Callithrix jacchus: one gene and its partners. The main gene of each other region encodes a partner of the protein of the gene in region 3 in a complex. Links are inferred from orthologs where the notes say so. Each region holds a gene or a part of one and is shown on either strand. Other genes may lie near its edges. The genes, in order: RNF139, INSIG2 and SCAP.

Evidence for each region.
Region 1: SCAP (region 3) and RNF139 share a complex: the UniProt entries of both Homo sapiens proteins name them as parts of the SCAP-SREBP complex. The link is inferred for Callithrix jacchus from reciprocal best matches to the Homo sapiens genes SCAP and RNF139.
Region 2: the proteins of SCAP (region 3) and INSIG2 are in contact, whole or in part, in a cryo-EM structure (PDB 7ETW), measured with the Homo sapiens proteins. The link is inferred for Callithrix jacchus from reciprocal best matches to the Homo sapiens genes SCAP and INSIG2. Residues at the interface, in NP_036367.2 of Homo sapiens: Pro200, Ser206, Val282, Ala283, Glu284, Ile286, Pro287, Thr290, Ile294, Ala297, Tyr298, Phe301, Lys305, Tyr351, Val354, Val355, Glu359, Thr409, Leu410, Val411, Ser638, Tyr639; in NP_001308258.1 of Homo sapiens: Phe41, Val45, Leu48, Leu49, Ile51, Val55, Leu57, Phe58, Pro59, Val62, Ser65, Ile66, Glu104, Trp105, Ser106, Met109, Arg110, Val112, Ala113, Val114, Val116, Gly117, His120, Gln132.

Annotation. Positions count from the first base shown.
Region 1 is NC_133517.1:72,901,620-72,906,051, reverse strand, and holds part of RNF139 (E3 ubiquitin-protein ligase RNF139), read left to right. Parts: intron 1-3,179; coding exon 3,180-4,432. UniProt on the Homo sapiens protein: E3-ubiquitin ligase; acts as a negative regulator of cell proliferation through mechanisms involving G2/M arrest and cell death.
Region 2 is NC_133507.1:102,719,051-102,725,113, forward strand, and holds the start of INSIG2 (insulin-induced gene 2 protein), read left to right. Parts: upstream 1-2,605; 5' UTR 2,606-2,694; exon of another isoform or gene 2,695-2,819; intron 2,820-6,063. UniProt on the Homo sapiens protein: Oxysterol-binding protein that mediates feedback control of cholesterol synthesis by controlling both endoplasmic reticulum to Golgi transport of SCAP and degradation of HMGCR.
Region 3 is NC_133516.1:30,067,111-30,072,732, reverse strand, and holds part of SCAP (sterol regulatory element-binding protein cleavage-activating protein), read left to right. Parts: intron 1-989; coding exon 990-1,084; intron 1,085-2,790; coding exon 2,791-2,889; intron 2,890-3,047; coding exon 3,048-3,266; intron 3,267-4,067; coding exon 4,068-4,444; intron 4,445-4,899; coding exon 4,900-5,088; intron 5,089-5,214; coding exon 5,215-5,416; intron 5,417-5,487; coding exon 5,488-5,603; intron 5,604-5,622. UniProt on the Homo sapiens protein: Escort protein required for cholesterol as well as lipid homeostasis.

The DNA of each region.
Region 1 (4,432 bases), on a different chromosome or scaffold from region 3:
TTTAAAGTTTTTAAAGTTTTGTCTCAGGAAAAATAAGGTTGTTTCCATGTAGAGAACGTAAGGTTACATATGGCATCTGGAAGGCTGAATTAATTCCATTTCCTTGTTACCTTCCATGGAGGAAGTGTCTAATAAAAAATAAAATCTGTTTTCTGTTAAAAGAGCCTGTTAAGCTCACAACTCTTTGGGAGATTATTAGTGGCCCATTTGCTTGGGGAATCAGGTGGTTTGTATTCAGAGGTTTATGTATCTTCTTCATTGTGTCCTTTTGTTTTCTTTTTCACAAATGACTTCACACTTTGGCACAGGATACATTTTAAATCCCTGGGCAGAATCATCACTTAAAGGAACTAGCCTGGCCGGGTGCAATAGTTCATGCTTGTAATCCCAGCACTTGGGAGACTCACGAGGATCACGAGGTCAGGAGTTTGAGATCAGCCTGGCCAGCATGGTGGCATGCCCAGGAGGCGGAGGTTGCAAGGAGCTGAGATAGTGACAGGGCGAGACTCCGTGTCAAAAAAAAAGAGGAACTAACCCTTGCTTTTATGTGCAATGGATTGTGAAATGCGTCCACTGTAATAATATGCAGTGTCTTGATTACCTGCTGAAATAGGGTGGATAGATGGACTTTTATTTTATTGCTTAATATTTATTTATTTATTTATTTTGAGACAGGGTCTCCCTGTCACCCACACTGATGTGCAGTTGGTGCCATCTCAGCTCATTGCAACCTCCTCCTTCCAGGTTCAAGGGATTCTCCTGCCACAGTCTCCTGAGTAGCTGGGAGTACAGGCGTGTGCCTTCATGCCTGGCAAATTTTTATTTAGAAGAGACAGGGTTTCATCATGTTGACATGGTCTTGAACTCCTGGCTTCAAGATGCACCTGCCTCGGCCTCCCAAAGTGTTGGGATTACAAGTGTGAGCCACCACACCTGGCCATAGACGGATTTTTAATTTGGAGTTTGTCACTTTTTCTGTACTCCAGGATATGGTTTCTCATTGTCTTTTTCATAGATTTTATTTTTCAAGCAGGTTATATTTTGTAGTTGCCTTTAAAAATAACTGGATGTGACAGACATTTCCCCATGAATACTAATTGTACTTATTTTGTACAGACTATTGTAGGATCCATAGATGGACAGGTATGATCCTTGCTTTCTGTTGCAGACACATGTATAATAGGGTAGATGATACTTAGATAACTACAGACTGCAGTATCAGGTGACATATGAGTGTTAGGTGTTTCACTAAGTTCTGTGGGTATGCTGAAAGAAGTTTCTATCAAAGACAGTGGGTTTCCAGGGTAGGTAGGATTTGAACAGTCAGGGATTAGGAAGTTGGTGGGGTCATCACTACATCATACACTAAACGCCACTGTACCTATAGTGGAGAAAGGAATGTGGGGAACATAAGTCTGGAGCATTGATGTATGTGTGTTAGGAGGAGTATTACTGTAAAGCAAACTGGATACTCGAATGCCAGGAGCAGGAATGTAGGTTTTAGTTGATAGCAATTTCAGAGCTGCCGAGGCAATTTGGTGATGGCTTGTAGATGGACATAGACAAGATGAGGTTTTTTGTTTTTTATTTTTGAGACATTAATTGGTTGGTGTCACAGAAAAGGGAGATAGAGATGTTAGAAGAATTTGGCAACTAATTGGCAAAGTTTGAGTGTGTGGAGTTGGGTTGAGAGTACCTCTAAGAGGTTAATAATGGTACCTTCAACTGAAATATCAAATCACAAGGAAAAGCCGATTCTAGTTTAAGGCAAGTTATGTTTTAGAACTTTGGAGATTTGCAGTTGTAATGTAGGAGTGAAACTAGGTGAGTATTTAGATGCCATTCCCATTGTTGAAACGTTGGACAATAACGTGTTTATTGTAATCCTACTTAAAATATGCATTTCTGTTAGAGTAAAAAGAAAGATGGTGTCTATGGAGTGGGGGAAGGGGAATTACCATTTTTTAAAAACGTGTCTTGGTTTTCCGAGTGTTACTTTTGTTATGTGAAGAATAGAAAGGGTGGACTATTTTAAGAAACAGATTCAGCATTGTACAGGAAAAAGGGAACTTGGAGGATGTTTGTAAGTCTGAAAGAAACTAGGTAGGAGGGAAAAAACCCTGAATTTTTTGACTCTTTGAAGAATGCTCAGAGTTAAAGAGCAGGAAAAATAAGAGCTGGTATGACTTAGCTAGAAGAAAAGGAGGAATTAGGTGAAAGTATAAAACTTGAACTTGATTTCCTAAAGAATGCTTGAAACCAAAAATCTAAAACTTGGCTGGGCATGGTGGCTCACGCCTGTAATCCTCGCACTTTGGGAGGCCAAGGTGGGTGGATCAGTTGAGCTCAGGAGTTAGAGACCAGTAGTTTCTCTACTAAAAATACAAAAATTAGCTGGGTGTGGTGGCAGGTACCTGTAATCCTAGTTACTTGGGAGGCTGAGGCAGAATTGCTTGAGCCTGGGAGGCAGAGGTGGCGGAGAGTTGGGATTGTGCTAGTGCATTCCAACCTGGGTGACAGAGCAAGACTCCGTCTCAATCAATCAATCAAAAACTTAATGGGAACAAATGGTTTTCATTTGGGTTATTTTTAGCTCTTAATTTTTTAAATTATCTTAATGATTATCAAATGATGAAGGACATATTCTTTTACAAATTAATCTTGAAGATAATTTAGTAATTTTGTGCCTTCGGCATATACAGTGTTACTTGAAATAATCTGGAAATTAGGAAGGAAGGAAATTTTATAAAGAAAGGAAGGAAGTAAAGAATTTACCATCCTAGCCAACATGGTGAAACCCCATCTCTACTAAAAATACAAAAATTAGCCAGGTGTGGTGGCAGGCACTTGTAATCCCAGCTACTTGGGAGGCTGAGGCAGGAGAACCGCTTGAACCTGGGAGGTGGAGGTTGCAGTGAGCCGAGATGCACCACTGCACTCCAGCCTGGCGACAGAGCAAGACACCGTCTCAAAAAAAGTAATAATTTAGTATGTTTGGTCTGTCCTCTTGAACTCTGACTTTACAAAACCTTCGTTGCCCTTTAAACCAAAATTGGCTTGAGGCTTAATGTACTGAACATACTCATATTTCCTAATTAAAGAAAGAATATCATAACTATTAGTGGGAAAACATTCTTAAAGATACTTCATTCAAATGACTTTTCCTTTCTTTCTTTTAGGTATATTTGTATCCAGTATTGTTCTGATCTTGTCCCAGCGATCACTTTTCAAGTTTTACATGTACAGCTCAGCCTTTCTGTTAGCTGCAACTTCAGTGTTGGTGAATTACTATGCTGCTTTGCACATTGACTTCTATGGTGGCTACAACACATCAGCTTTTGGAATTGAGCTGCTTCCTCGAAAAGGTCCCTCGCTATGGATGGCAGTTATCGTTCTACAGCTAACATTTGGAATTGGATACATTACACTACTCCAGATTCATTCCATCTATTCACAATTAATCATTTTGGATCTCTTGGTTCCTGTAATAGGCTTAATCACAGAGCTACCATTACACATCAGAGAGACTTTAGTGTTTACCTCTTCCTTGATTCTCACATTAAATACAGTGCTTGTCCTGGCAGTGAAACTGAAGTGGTTTTATTATTCCACACGATATGTTTATCTTTTAGTGAGGCACATGTATCGAATTTATGGATTACAGTTATTGATGGAGGACACATGGAAGAGGATTCGTTTCCCAGACATACTGCGAGTGTTTTGGCTAACAAGAGTTACAGCTCAGGCTACAGTGTTAATGTACATCTTAAGGATGGCAAATGAAACTGATACCTTCTTTATTTCTTGGGATGATTTTTGGGACCTCATTTGCAATCTTATAATTAGTGGATGTGATTCTACACTAACTGTGCTGGGCATGAGTGCTGTAATTTCCTCAGTAGCCCATTATTTGGGGCTTGGAATATTGGCCTTTATTGGATCAACTGAGGAAGATGACAGGCGGCTTGGCTTTGTTGCACCAGTTTTATTTTTTATTTTGGCTCTTCAGACTGGGTTAAGTGGGCTAAGACCAGAAGAGAGACTTATTCGCTTAAGTAGAAACATGTGCCTTCTATTAACTGCAGTCCTGCATTTCATACATGGAATGACAGACCCTGTATTAATGTCTCTCAGTGCCTCTCATGTGTCATCTTTTCGTAGACATTTTCCTGTGCTGTTTGTCTCTGCTTGCCTGTTTATTCTTCCTGTCATACTCAGTTATGTTCTTTGGCATCACTATGCACTAAATACATGGTTGTTTGCAGTTACAGCATTTTGTGTGGAACTGTGCTTAAAAGTAATCGTTTCTCTCACTGTTTATACATTATTCATGATTGACGGCTACTATAATGTCCTCTGGGAAAAGCTTGACGATTATGTCTACTACGTTCGTTCAACAGGAAGTATTATTGAATTTATATTTGGAGTTGTA
Region 2 (6,063 bases), on a different chromosome or scaffold from region 3:
TGACTAGGAAAATTGCAGTATTTTCAAAAAATTTATTTTGGGTGTTTTTAATTTGGGTAATGTTTCCAAGTTCAAAGTTCTTAGAGGCTTACTGAATGTCTTAGTCATCAACTGTAGGCAATAATTAAGGTGAGTCCCACAATATCTCACTCCAGCAAGGTCAAAAAACTTTTGTGGGTGTTTGTATTGGCTAAGTAAAGGACTTTTTGTTTTCTAACTTATCTTTTGATCTGTTCTGTTGAGAGTCCAAACAACATATAAAGCTAATGGAAAAAAACCTTTCTTGAAGTCAAGAATTAAAAAAGTGTTGATACTTTCACCTATGAAAAAGACCTCAGAAATTATTATACAGACCAATCTCTCGTTTTACAGATGAATAAAAGAAAGCCTAAAAACCCAAATTTATTGGATGTGATTACACACATGCTGCCATACTGCCAAACTACAATCCAGGTTTCCAGGATCATTCACCAGCATTCCATTGACTGCATTACACCAACTTCAAAATAACTCAAAGTTACTATGATTTCTTGATGTTTTTAACCAATTTATATTCTGGCCTCAATTAATTTAGGATTCCAATGTTTCCATAACAAAAATTTAGTCCAAATTCACGAGCTTGATGTTTAGAACTTACATGTCTCACCATACCTCTTTCTACATGTCAGATTCTACAATCTGTTTCATGTTTTTCTAACTCTGAGCTTCCACCAGAATGCACAGGTTTACCATATCTGCATATTTATCCTCAGTGCCCACTGAAAGACCACATCTTCCATGAAAACTGTCCTCAAATCTGGTCAAAGACAATGGCTCTTTGTATTTCTGCTGGGGGTTTTACATTCTGCCTTGTACTGTGGTAGGAATGACTGCATTGGATGTAGGAATCTTGGGAACTGTTGCTATATGGCTTTTGCTTTTTAGGTTCTGTCGCTACTTGCAATTAATAAATATTTAAGCTAAAGTAAATGCCCTTCTAGGTTAAATTTTCCGTAAGGATTTTCTTGAAGGCAATTTCTAAGTGTCTGAAAAAAGCTCGGTTGGAGTAGGCATGAACTGGACATACAGGACTTGTATTGCTTTAAGGAAATACGTGATGTCAGAACACTGTGAAATTATTCTCTTTTCTGAGTGCTTTCTCTTTTCTTTTAAAAATTATCGTCCATTCTGTATAATTGGCCCAGGTCTTTCTTACTGATAGTGTAAAGTCTTACAGGAGTGAAATTTGAGAGCGATAGAAAACAGCAAAAACACTAAGAGCTATAGTAAACATCAGAGAAGCATCATACAATACTTGCCTAGAAACATTTTGTTGGAAATTGATTCTTTTTCAATTTTCATAAATAAATGTGGCCGAGGCTGGTGGATCACGAGGTCAAGAGATCGAGACCAGCATTGTTGACATGGTGAAACCCCGTCTCTACTAAAAATACAAAAAATTAGCTGGGCATGGTGGCACGTGCCTGTAATCTCAGCTACTCGGGAGGCTGAGGCAGGAGAATTGCCTGAACCCAGGAGGCGGAGGTTGCGGTGAGCCGAGATCGCACCATTGCACTCCAGCCTGGGTAACAAGAGCGAAACTCTGTCTAAAAAAAAAAAAAAAGTACATAAAATGGTCAGAAAAATAAAAATCCATCTTATCGTTTATCAGTTCAAAGTAAATGAAAGGAGACAGTCCTTTGGAAAACTATTATGCATTTACTCTCGGCCCAGATTTCATCTAGAATATTCAAGTCCATTGTAACCTTACCACACCCCAAATGGAATAGCCTGGTAACGTAATACATTCAAGAGAGATTTCTTTTTTCTCTCTTTTTAAAAAAGAGCTGCTTAAAAAAACAAATTCAGAGTACAGAAGCAACTCCTTATGATGAATACCTTTTGGCACTTATAAGGACTTGCTTCTGCAATGATGGCACCACTTTCATAAAAAATACAAGTTCACCTGCACAATTCCAAAGATCTGTTTGGTTTGGTTTCATGTCCTAAAAGTACGGTTTTATACGAAAAACAATACTTCTGACAAGCGGTTAAAGGTTTTAAAATTTTCTCTGTTCGTGTAAACTTCCAAAGCCCTTCCTATGAAAACTGCCCCCCACCCAATCACGTTACTTGGTAGTTCTCGAGAAACGATTTTAAATGAAAAGCGCATAAAGTGTTGCAGCATGGAGATGAGCGACAACCATGCTCTTCTCTCAAAATATGTTATAATTTACTAGGGGAAGAAAAGGAGCAGAGTATAATGCGCGGTGTTCTGTTGGAAGTACTCGGCGGCCTGCTCCGGAGCGCGCCCCTTTAGGCTACGAGATGAGGGTCACGCAGGCGGCCGCGCCTCCCGGGGAGTGTGCGTGTCTCATTGCATGATTTCCTTACTCCGCCCACAGGGTCTGGGCATCCATCGTTACCCACGACTGCCTGGTCAGCAAACAACAGCTGATCCAGCCTCCAGTCACCTCGACTATCCCCGCCCACCGCTAGCAGCCCATTTTCCGCAGACCGGAAGCCCTTTTGCCCCGGCTCGCTGGTCCACCCCTTATTGCCGGCGAGAACCGGAAGCTCCTCTGCCCCGATCGCCTGCGTGTGGCCGCCTTAGCTGCACAAGCGCAGTGGAGCTCGGGCGGAGTTGTGGGAGTGGAGGAGGAAGAGGCCGTTGGGGGTTACGGGGGTTGGTCCCAGAAGATGGCGGAGGCGGGGGTGAGTTGGGGGTCTCCCGGCTAAGCGCGGGTGACGTGGTGCTGAGGGAAACGGCCCGTGGAGAAGGGTGGCTCTCGGGAAGAAGAACTACTTGTGTCTTTGCAGCTTGGGAACCCTGATGGCAGGTGCGGGGAGCCAGGACCACTGATGGGCCTGCAGGGCCATGGGCTCCGTTTACCTGAGAGGAGTCCGCTAGGTCCAGTTGGGGACTGCGGGGTCTGGGAGGGGTCATAGGAGGCGTCGAGGCCCCTCGGACTGTGGATGAGTGTCTGAGCGGGAAGAAGGCTGGAGGACGGCGGGAAGGGTGACCCAGAGGTCTGATGAGGTGGAGGTCAGCGAGCTGTCAAACAGAACTGCCAGGAATGGGAGGCTTGTAGCCTGGTACACGACTCAGGCTTGGGCGGGGGATGGATCCAAAGAAGGTAGATATCATACTAAGTTTAGAATCCACTAAAAAGATAGGGCATTGGGTTGAGGAGTAGGACTCTGGCATTTTGGACTGTAATTGGATACCTTTGGAATAGTTGTTTGGGTAAAGCCAAATAATTCTTGCCAGGGCCTAGAGGTGGATTTGATGATAGTTACTGGATATTAGGGTCGCTCAGTGGAGATTGGCAATATGGAGAAGGAAAGCAGTGTGGATTATGGGGTGGGCGCTGGCAATGGTACTAACACTTAAGTGATATGACCCGTTTCCAGTTAACATTGGAAAAAGTTGTTGAAGTATGATATTAGCTAGGTAGTCTAGGAAAATATACCACGAAGAACTTGCTGTTTTGTAGGATTGATAAAGAAGTGCTTTAAGAAGGAATGGTTAGGCTTGGCAGCTGGGCCGGTGAAACTGTTTGGCATCAGTATTGCCGTGGAGCTGAGGACTGCAGGGGAATGCGTGCTCCAGTCCTGGTGCAGAAAAAATAAAAGCAGCGAAACAATAGCTAGATGGTTCTTTCTAACTTTTGGGTTGGGTCCTGTTAGTGAAGCACTGAATGAAGATGGATGAAGGGAATGCTACTAATGGGGGCTCCAAAGGAAAAAAAAAGCCGTGTGCTCTTCCTGTTTCTCTTTTTCTTTCTTTCCCTGGACTTTGCTCAGTACTGTGGTTTCTCATTGTGTCGTCATAGTTCTCAGTTCATATCTGCTATACAGTGACCAATCAGTGACTCATGTACATTTGGGAAAGAGGTTGATTCTGTTTAACTGACAACTGTTGCTTCTGCGGATGGTCACACGGAAAAGGAAAGGATTAAATGCGGTTCAGTAATTTAAAGAGTTTTCTTTGTTCTCAGAAACTTCTCTCGAAACGATGGAGTAGCTTTTTTAGGCACTGAGATGTGATGTTTAAAAGCTGTAATGCGGTGTAAATGCAGCTAGCTTACTGGTTTCTGTGTTTGGGTTTTCAAGTTGAAAGAGTTGGAGTGTTTATAAGGCAAATAATTTTTTTTCTTCCTAGAAGTTTTTAACGTCCCTAGCCCATGATACATGTAGATGTGTTTTTATTTAGGGAGAATTAAACTGTTCCTTTGATTTAAGTTTGTTTTTTTCTAATGTTAGTGCTTATTCTATTTCAAGAATGCTATTCTAATTGAGAGAGTATATGAAGAAAAAGATGTGAGATAGTAATTTAACTTTATTATTTAGTAGCGTATGTGACCTAAGCACCTGAAGAGACAGGGTTATCTAAGGGAGTAAAAATGCTTCTGTGACTGCTAATCATTGGAAGGAATGGCCTGGTCATTTGGTTTTGGGGGTGTTGCAGTTGTTACAATGCAACAGGTTCTTAAGGTTACTAGAAGATTTTGTGCGTGTGTTTTCAAATGCTTGTTGCTTCTAAGTTGTTTCAGTGGCCAACATGAACTTCAATTTTTATTCACAAAGCCCATAATCACTTGTAAATCTTCTTTTTTAACCTGAAAGTAATACTATCAATCCATTAATAGGCAGCCATACACCTGGCATAATGTTTTTCCAGTATTGATGATTCATCCTTGACCTATGCAAATTATTTGAACTGTTTTTCTTTCTGTTCAGCATTGTACTTTCCAGAAACTTTAGGCCAGAGCTCAAGGTAGAGTTTTTCAAGTCTAGTGAAAAGTTTTTCTTTGTGAATTGTTGAAAACATTATTTTGGTATTAATGGTAGTTTACCAACATTATTTTAAAAATGGTTTCTTGTGTGGCACTTAAATTGTTTTGTACCATGTTTGTGGATGGAAGCAATATGGTGAAGCAGGAAGAACTTGACCTGCTTCAGAGTGGGTGGGCCTAGTCCTGGTGCTACCTGGTGACAGTTCTGTGATCTTAGAAAGTTACTTAACCTATTTGATTTCATAAAATTAGAACTAATAGCACCTGCCTATTTACCAGGATAATTTTTGAGAATCTATTGAGATCTTGTCCTTTAAACAGTATCTTTATACAGAGACTTCCTCCCTGGTCAGCAAATTATTTATCAAGTAATCTAAATTTTTCAAATATAGATTAAAAAAATTTTTGGAGCATCAAGTTTATCATTGATGTAAGACTAATATTTTAAAGATATAGATACATTTTGTTTTAAGAAAATGGTGTCAGTACATAATCAGAAAAACAAACTTCAAAATAAACTTAAAGGAACTTACTTTCCCTTGAAAATAACCCACTCCTCTAGTGTGTCACTGATACTATAAACATGCTTTTAAAGGAATTTCATTGTTGCATGGTAGGGGGTTATATGGTTTTGTGGAAGCCTCTATCCATTTGATGAGTCTGGTCATTTTTGGGCATCACTGTACATGTTTGTGGTGATAAGAACTGATGGTACTGTCTTGATCTTGCTATTCCAGTTGACCACTTTGCATCTCATTGGCCTTAATAGTAGAGTGAGAGAACTGTTAGATTACCGGTTCTTTACTTTTGTTTGGATTATGGACTTTTTTGAGTACCTGATATGAATTGTAGAACCATCCCAGAAAAAGGCACATATACACAACATTTTTGTTTTGTTTTGCATGGTGGTCTCATACCCCTTGGAATAGATGATCTCCCAGTTCCCTGCTATTTCTTAAAGCTTTTATTTTTTGTCCCCAGTAATTATATACTGTTGTATTATGATGTAGTTACAAAATTAGCTTTTTGAATTTCATTCAAATAAACATCAAACAAGTGTGTTATTTTTAAAGAAAACTTTTGGGGTGAAGTAGGAAACTAAACAAGCACTGCCAGGAAAGGTTAAATAAACAGCTGTGGCAGAAAACACAAACAGTTTAGAAAGTCTAGCTGTCTTGAAATAGAATGAAGAAGTCTCTAGCAATCAGTGGCTCTCATTGTGGGGACAATTTTGGTTATCATAAATAGGGGAGGGGGCATTTAGTGGGTGGGGGCCAGGGATGCT
Region 3 (5,622 bases):
TGTGGTCCCAGCTACTCAAGAGGTTAAGGTGGGAGGATTGCTTGAGGCTGGGAGGTCAAAGCTGCAGTGAGCCGTGATCATGCCACTTCAGCGCTGTGGATGGGGCTTGTGTTTGGTGGTGGCTTTCTGTCTGGGGAGTTTAGCATCTAGTATTTTCTCTTACTGCCTCACTCCAGCGCACTAGGCCCAAGCCCCTGGATCTGCTGCCTTCACAGCTGCCAGAAATGCCCCCTCTGGCCCTGCTGGTAGAAGCTGAGGATCGGGGGTTCTAGGGAAAATGAGAAGAGGGAGAGCCTAGCCTTGGAGGTCTGGTCACTTGAGCCTCTTCCTGCTTGTCACCTGTGTCTGTGAGGAACGAGGCTGTAGGCAGGTCGTCCATTCATCCAGCAAACCTCTGTAAGCCTCTGTGATAAGCCAGGCTCTGTGCTAGATATGGAGTTAGGAAGAGATGGGGCGAAATGGTCCTTACCCAGTAGGAGCTCCGAGCCTTAGACATGCAACAGTGTGATAGCATGGGATCAGGGCTCACCACAGGAAGGGGCTTAAGGAAGAACGCAACCAGCTCTTCCACCTCTCGAGTGTTTCTGCCCTGTGGCTGGTGGGCATACTGTCATACTGGCCCATATAGACCAGACAAGAACCACATGCGGAGGTGGGATGTGGTTGGAGTGGGGTGCACTTGGCTTTCCTTGTTCATTTTCTCGTCTCCACACTCTGCTGCTTCCATCTTCTGATGGTTATAGCTCTCCCCTGCACACTCCAAGCTGCGAACCCCCCTGTTCCCTGTAGCAGCTGTGTGGTGGTGACAGCACCTTAGAGTCCGGGCATTGGCAGGGTCCTGAGGGTTGGGGTACTTTGGTGGAATGGCTGCTTCAGACAGCTGGCAGCCCTCCCCATGCCTCTGCCACTCCGAGGCCCATGAGGTCATGTGAGTCATGTTGCAGACAGCAGCCATGTGCTGCCCTGTGCTCTGTTGCTGCCCTCTGCAGGCCTAAGCAGTGAGAGCTGGTCCATCATGAAGAACATGGCCACGGAACTGGGCATCATCCTTATTGGCTACTTCACCCTAGTGCCCGCCATCCAGGTAAGGCTCCAAGGCCTGCCACCTGGATGAGCATGGAAGCAACTCCTGTGCTCCCCAGCTGTGCAGCCATGGGCACCGTGCTCCCCGTCTTCCAGCACAGGCATCCTTGCCTGGCAAACCGATAACTGCAGCACACAGATGGCCCCTGGCATGCCTGGCTCAGAATTGCTTGGCAAAGCCTGGCTGGGTTCCAAGATTGAGTGCCAGGCAGGCTTTGCCCTTGACCCTTTCTTCCTACCCCTCCCTGCCTGCTTCCCCTTCAGCAAAGTGGCAGGAGGAGGCTGCAAGGGCATGGCAGAAGCTGGGGACAGGCTGTGCCGTTCCAGTCACATGTGTTTCCCATTTCTGAGGGAGAAGCACCATGGGGTCCCTAGACCCTTCCTCTGGTCTTCTCTCTTGGCCCTGATGGGTGCTACAGTCCCCAGACGCATGGCCTTGCCTGGCCTGACCTGTGAGAGGGCCAATTCCCATTGCCCAGAGTGACCCTGCTCTTGGCAAAGTGCCCTTGCTCAGCTGTGGGCTGTGAGCAGAGGTGGAGGTGGCCCTACACTGACCTGGAACCCCAGACTGATGCCAGCCATTCTAAGAGGAGCTGCGAGAAGGGGAGGATGCCATCTTTTCTCCCTGTCCTTCCCCCAGGGCTGGCAGGCTAGTTGAGGGATGGGGATGAGCAGAGAACAGATGGGCTGTGGGCTTTTTCTCCTGGAAAAACAGTAGTGTCTGCAGGACAAGGCACAATCTTGGGATGTTAGAGCTGAGACACCACTGTGCCACTATCTGCACCCCATGGTCTTACCCCAGATCTGAGTAGCACTGTGGTGATGTGCTAAAGGTCTCAACACTGACATCTCAGAAAATTCTGTCTGCTGACAGCTTGGGGAGCAGAGAGCTCACCCTTTTTCAGTTTTAGAGGAGAATTAATCTCTCTCTTTTTTTTTTTTGAGATGGAGTTTCGCTCTTGTTACCCAGGCTGGAGTGCAATGGCACGATCTCAGCTCACCGCAACCTCCGCCTCCTGGGTTCAGGCAATTCTTCTGCCTGCCTCCTGAGTAGCTGGGATTACAGGCACGCGCAACCATGCCCAGCTAATTTTTTGTATTTTTAGTAGAGACGGGGTTTCACCATGTTGACCAGGATGGTCTTGATCTCTTGACCTTGTGATCCACCCACCTCGGCCTCTGAAAGTGCTGGGATTACAGGCTTGAGCCACCGTGCCCGGCTCTCTCTTTCTTCTCATTGCTTTGGGGCAGTTGCTGGCTGGGAACCTTTCTGAGAGCCCCTGAATCAGGCCTGGGCTCTGGCTGGGTTGCTGTTGCGTGAGCAGGGTGGAGACTTAGTGGGGCAGGACTTTTTTGGGGAGCAGGCTGGTGGGGCTTAGAGATTTCCAGGTTGGATCAGGCCTTCAGTCCTCTCTAGGGGGATGGGAAGATTCAGGGAGGGTACCCTCCACTTTCAGCCCTTTCTGAAAAAAGTGTGAGGGTTTCTGCTGCCCCCTGGTGGAGATGGCATGATCTGCTGGTGGTGTGTGAGCTGAGGACCAACCAGTATCTCTTCTTCCTCTCTGCTGTGCCCTATCTGCTGGTGCCCTATCAGCTGCCCTGCTGGTTCTGAGGTGGCTGCAGTCTGGGCACTGCTCCTCTAGGACTGGAGAGGTGAGGTCACAGCACCCCCGCCACCTCCCCCCCCCCCGTGTTCTCTGATTCCAGGAGTTCTGTCTCTTTGCCGTGGTGGGCCTGGTGTCTGACTTCTTCCTTCAGATGCTTTTTTTCACCACTGTCCTGTCCATTGACATTCGCCGGATGGAGGTAGGAGTGGGCTGAGCCCTGCCCTGCCCGCCAACTCAGCCCTGGCTGTCCTCAGGGAGCCCTGGGTGACAGGGGTGTAGACCTTGGGCAGGGCAGCAGTCCTGTGAGGGCAGCCTCTGGACAGTGGACTCAGGCCCTGACCACTGTGTCCCCAACAGCTAGCAGACCTGAACAAGCGGCTGCCCCCTGAGGCCTGCCTGCCCTCAGCCAAGCCAGTTGGGCAGCCAACACGCTATGAGCGGCAGCTGGCTGTGCGGCCATCCACACCCCACACCATCACGTTGCAGCCATCTTCCTTCCGAAATCTGCGGCTCCCCAAGAGGCTGCGTGTCGTCTACTTCCTGGCCCGCACCCGTCTGGCACAGCGCCTCATCATGGTACCTGCCACCTCTGCGTTGCCCTCTTAGTGCTCCAGGCCCCTTGTGGTGCTGCACTTGGCCTTAGAGTGGCAAGGGGTGCTCCTCAGGCCCCGGTGGCCCCTGGAAGCCTGGCTCTGGGGAGCTGCCTGTTGTGTCCTCCCTGCCCAGACCCTGGTGGCTTCTGAGGAGACAAGCCTGTCTGTGGGAGAAGCAGCTCCAGGGCTCACAGGTACAGGAGCCGTCCTCTCCCCAGAGTGGCCCAGGACAGGAGCCTGCTAGTCGAGTGCTTTGAGATGGACCCACCTGTGGCCACATTTCCCTGGGTCGGGTTCATCAGCTGCTGTATCGTGTGCAGACGCTGGAAAGTGCTGGGCAAAATCTGTCACCAGCCGGGCTGGGCTGGCTCTGGGGCAGTAGTGCCTCTCCCAGGGAGTGGAACTGAGATGAGAGGAAGGCTGAGGGCCCCTGGGACTGGGGACTCTGGAGCAGATCAGGCAGCTGGCGCCGTGGCCTTGCTAACCATAGGAATGGTAGTTTTCTGGCACCAGCTGAGGTGGAGATTGGGGCGGGGGCATTCTGTGTCAAACCTCAGGGTGCTTCAGTGTATTTCCAGGCCAGGAAATTCAGCCCCTAAATGTGGCGAGTGTTGGCAGGAGGACTTGGAGAGGCAGGAGGAAGGGATGGAATGGGCCTGTGCCCTCTCTCCATCCCCAGGCCTCAGGTCCCTGTGCTCCTTCCTCCTAGCATGAGGGCTGAAGCTGCTGGGGATTAGGGCACGTTCCTCCAGGGGCCCCACTGAGTACCCTCACCCCCCTACAGGCTGGCACCGTTGTCTGGATTGGCATCCTGGTGTACACAGACCCAGCAGGGCTGCGCACCTACCTCGCTGCCCAGGTGACGGAACAGAGCCCACTGGGTGAGGGAGCCCTGGCTCCTCTGCCTGTGCCTAGCGGCATGCTGCCTGCCAATCACCCAGACCCTGCCTTCTCCATCTTCCCACCTGATGCCCCTAAGCTACCTGAGAACCAGACGTTGCCAGGCGAGCCACCTGAGCGTGGAGGTCCGGCAGAGGTTGTCCATGACAGCCCAGTCCCAGAGGTAACCTGGGGGCCTGAGGATGAGGAACTTTGGAGGAAATTGTCCTTCCGCCACTGGCCGACACTCTTCAGCTATTACAACATCACGCTGGCCAAGAGGTGAGCTGGGCTGTGCCAGGTGCCACCTCCTCACTCAATGGTGTTAGCCCACCATCCCCGTTCTCTGATGCAGGAGACCCACAGGTTTGAATTCTGCTAATAATTAAATAATTCATAAGGTTGTGAGGTGGGAACTGGTGTTCTAGGCAGCCATAACCTGAGAGTGTCCCAGGTTGCTCTGAGGAGTCACCAGTTGCTGCCAGCCCTTGGCAGAATGAGACCCACCCACCTGTCCAGGAGTTGGGAGGGAGATAGCCCACATGGCCACAAGGGCTGCTTGGGTGCTGGTATCTGGGACAGCAAGGTTGACTGCTAAGCTGGGCTGGGGAGGGACCTCTCTGTCCCCAACCCCCATGCTGGGAGAGTCTGGCTGTTGGAGCTGAGCCCTGCCTGGGGAGGAGGGAGGAGACTGGCTGGGAGGCCTCCCGCTGAGACTGCCCACTGTCCGGACCCAGGTACATTAGCCTGCTACCTGTCATCCCAGTCACGCTCCGCCTGAACCCGAGGGAGGCCCTGGAGGGTCGGCACCCTCAGGACGGCCGTAATGCCTGGCCCCCGCCGGGGCCTGTGCCGGCTGGGCACTGGGAGGCGGGACCCAAGGGCCCAGGTGGGGTACAGGCCCACGGAGACGTCACGCTGTACAAGTAAGGCCCGCTGGGTGGGGTGGGGTGGAGTGCAGGGAGGGGGACGGATAGGGAAGAGCAGGGAGAGGGAGGAGGAAGGGATAGGCTTTGGGGGTGCATCTCGCAATAGTCCGCCCACCTGTGCAGGGTGGCGGCACTGGGCCTGGCTGCGGGCATCGTTTTGGTGCTGTTGCTGCTCTGCCTTTACCGTGTGCTGTGCCCGCGCAACTACGGGCAGCCGGGCGGTGGGCCGGGGCGGCGGAGGCGTGGGGAGCTGCCCTGTGATGACTATGGCTACGCACCGCCCGAGACAGAGATCGTTCCGCTGGTGCTGCGTGGCCACCTCATGGTGAGTGGGGGCGCAGGCGGGGAAGGTGAGGGCCAGGCCCTGGCCCGCACCAACACTGCACACTCCCATAGGACATCGAGTGCCTGGCCAGCGACGGCATGCTGCTGGTGAGCTGTTGCCTGGCGGGCCACGTCTGCGTGTGGGACGCGCAGACCGGGGACTGTCTCACGCGCATCCCGCGCCCGGGGTAGGTGCGGCTGCCCTCT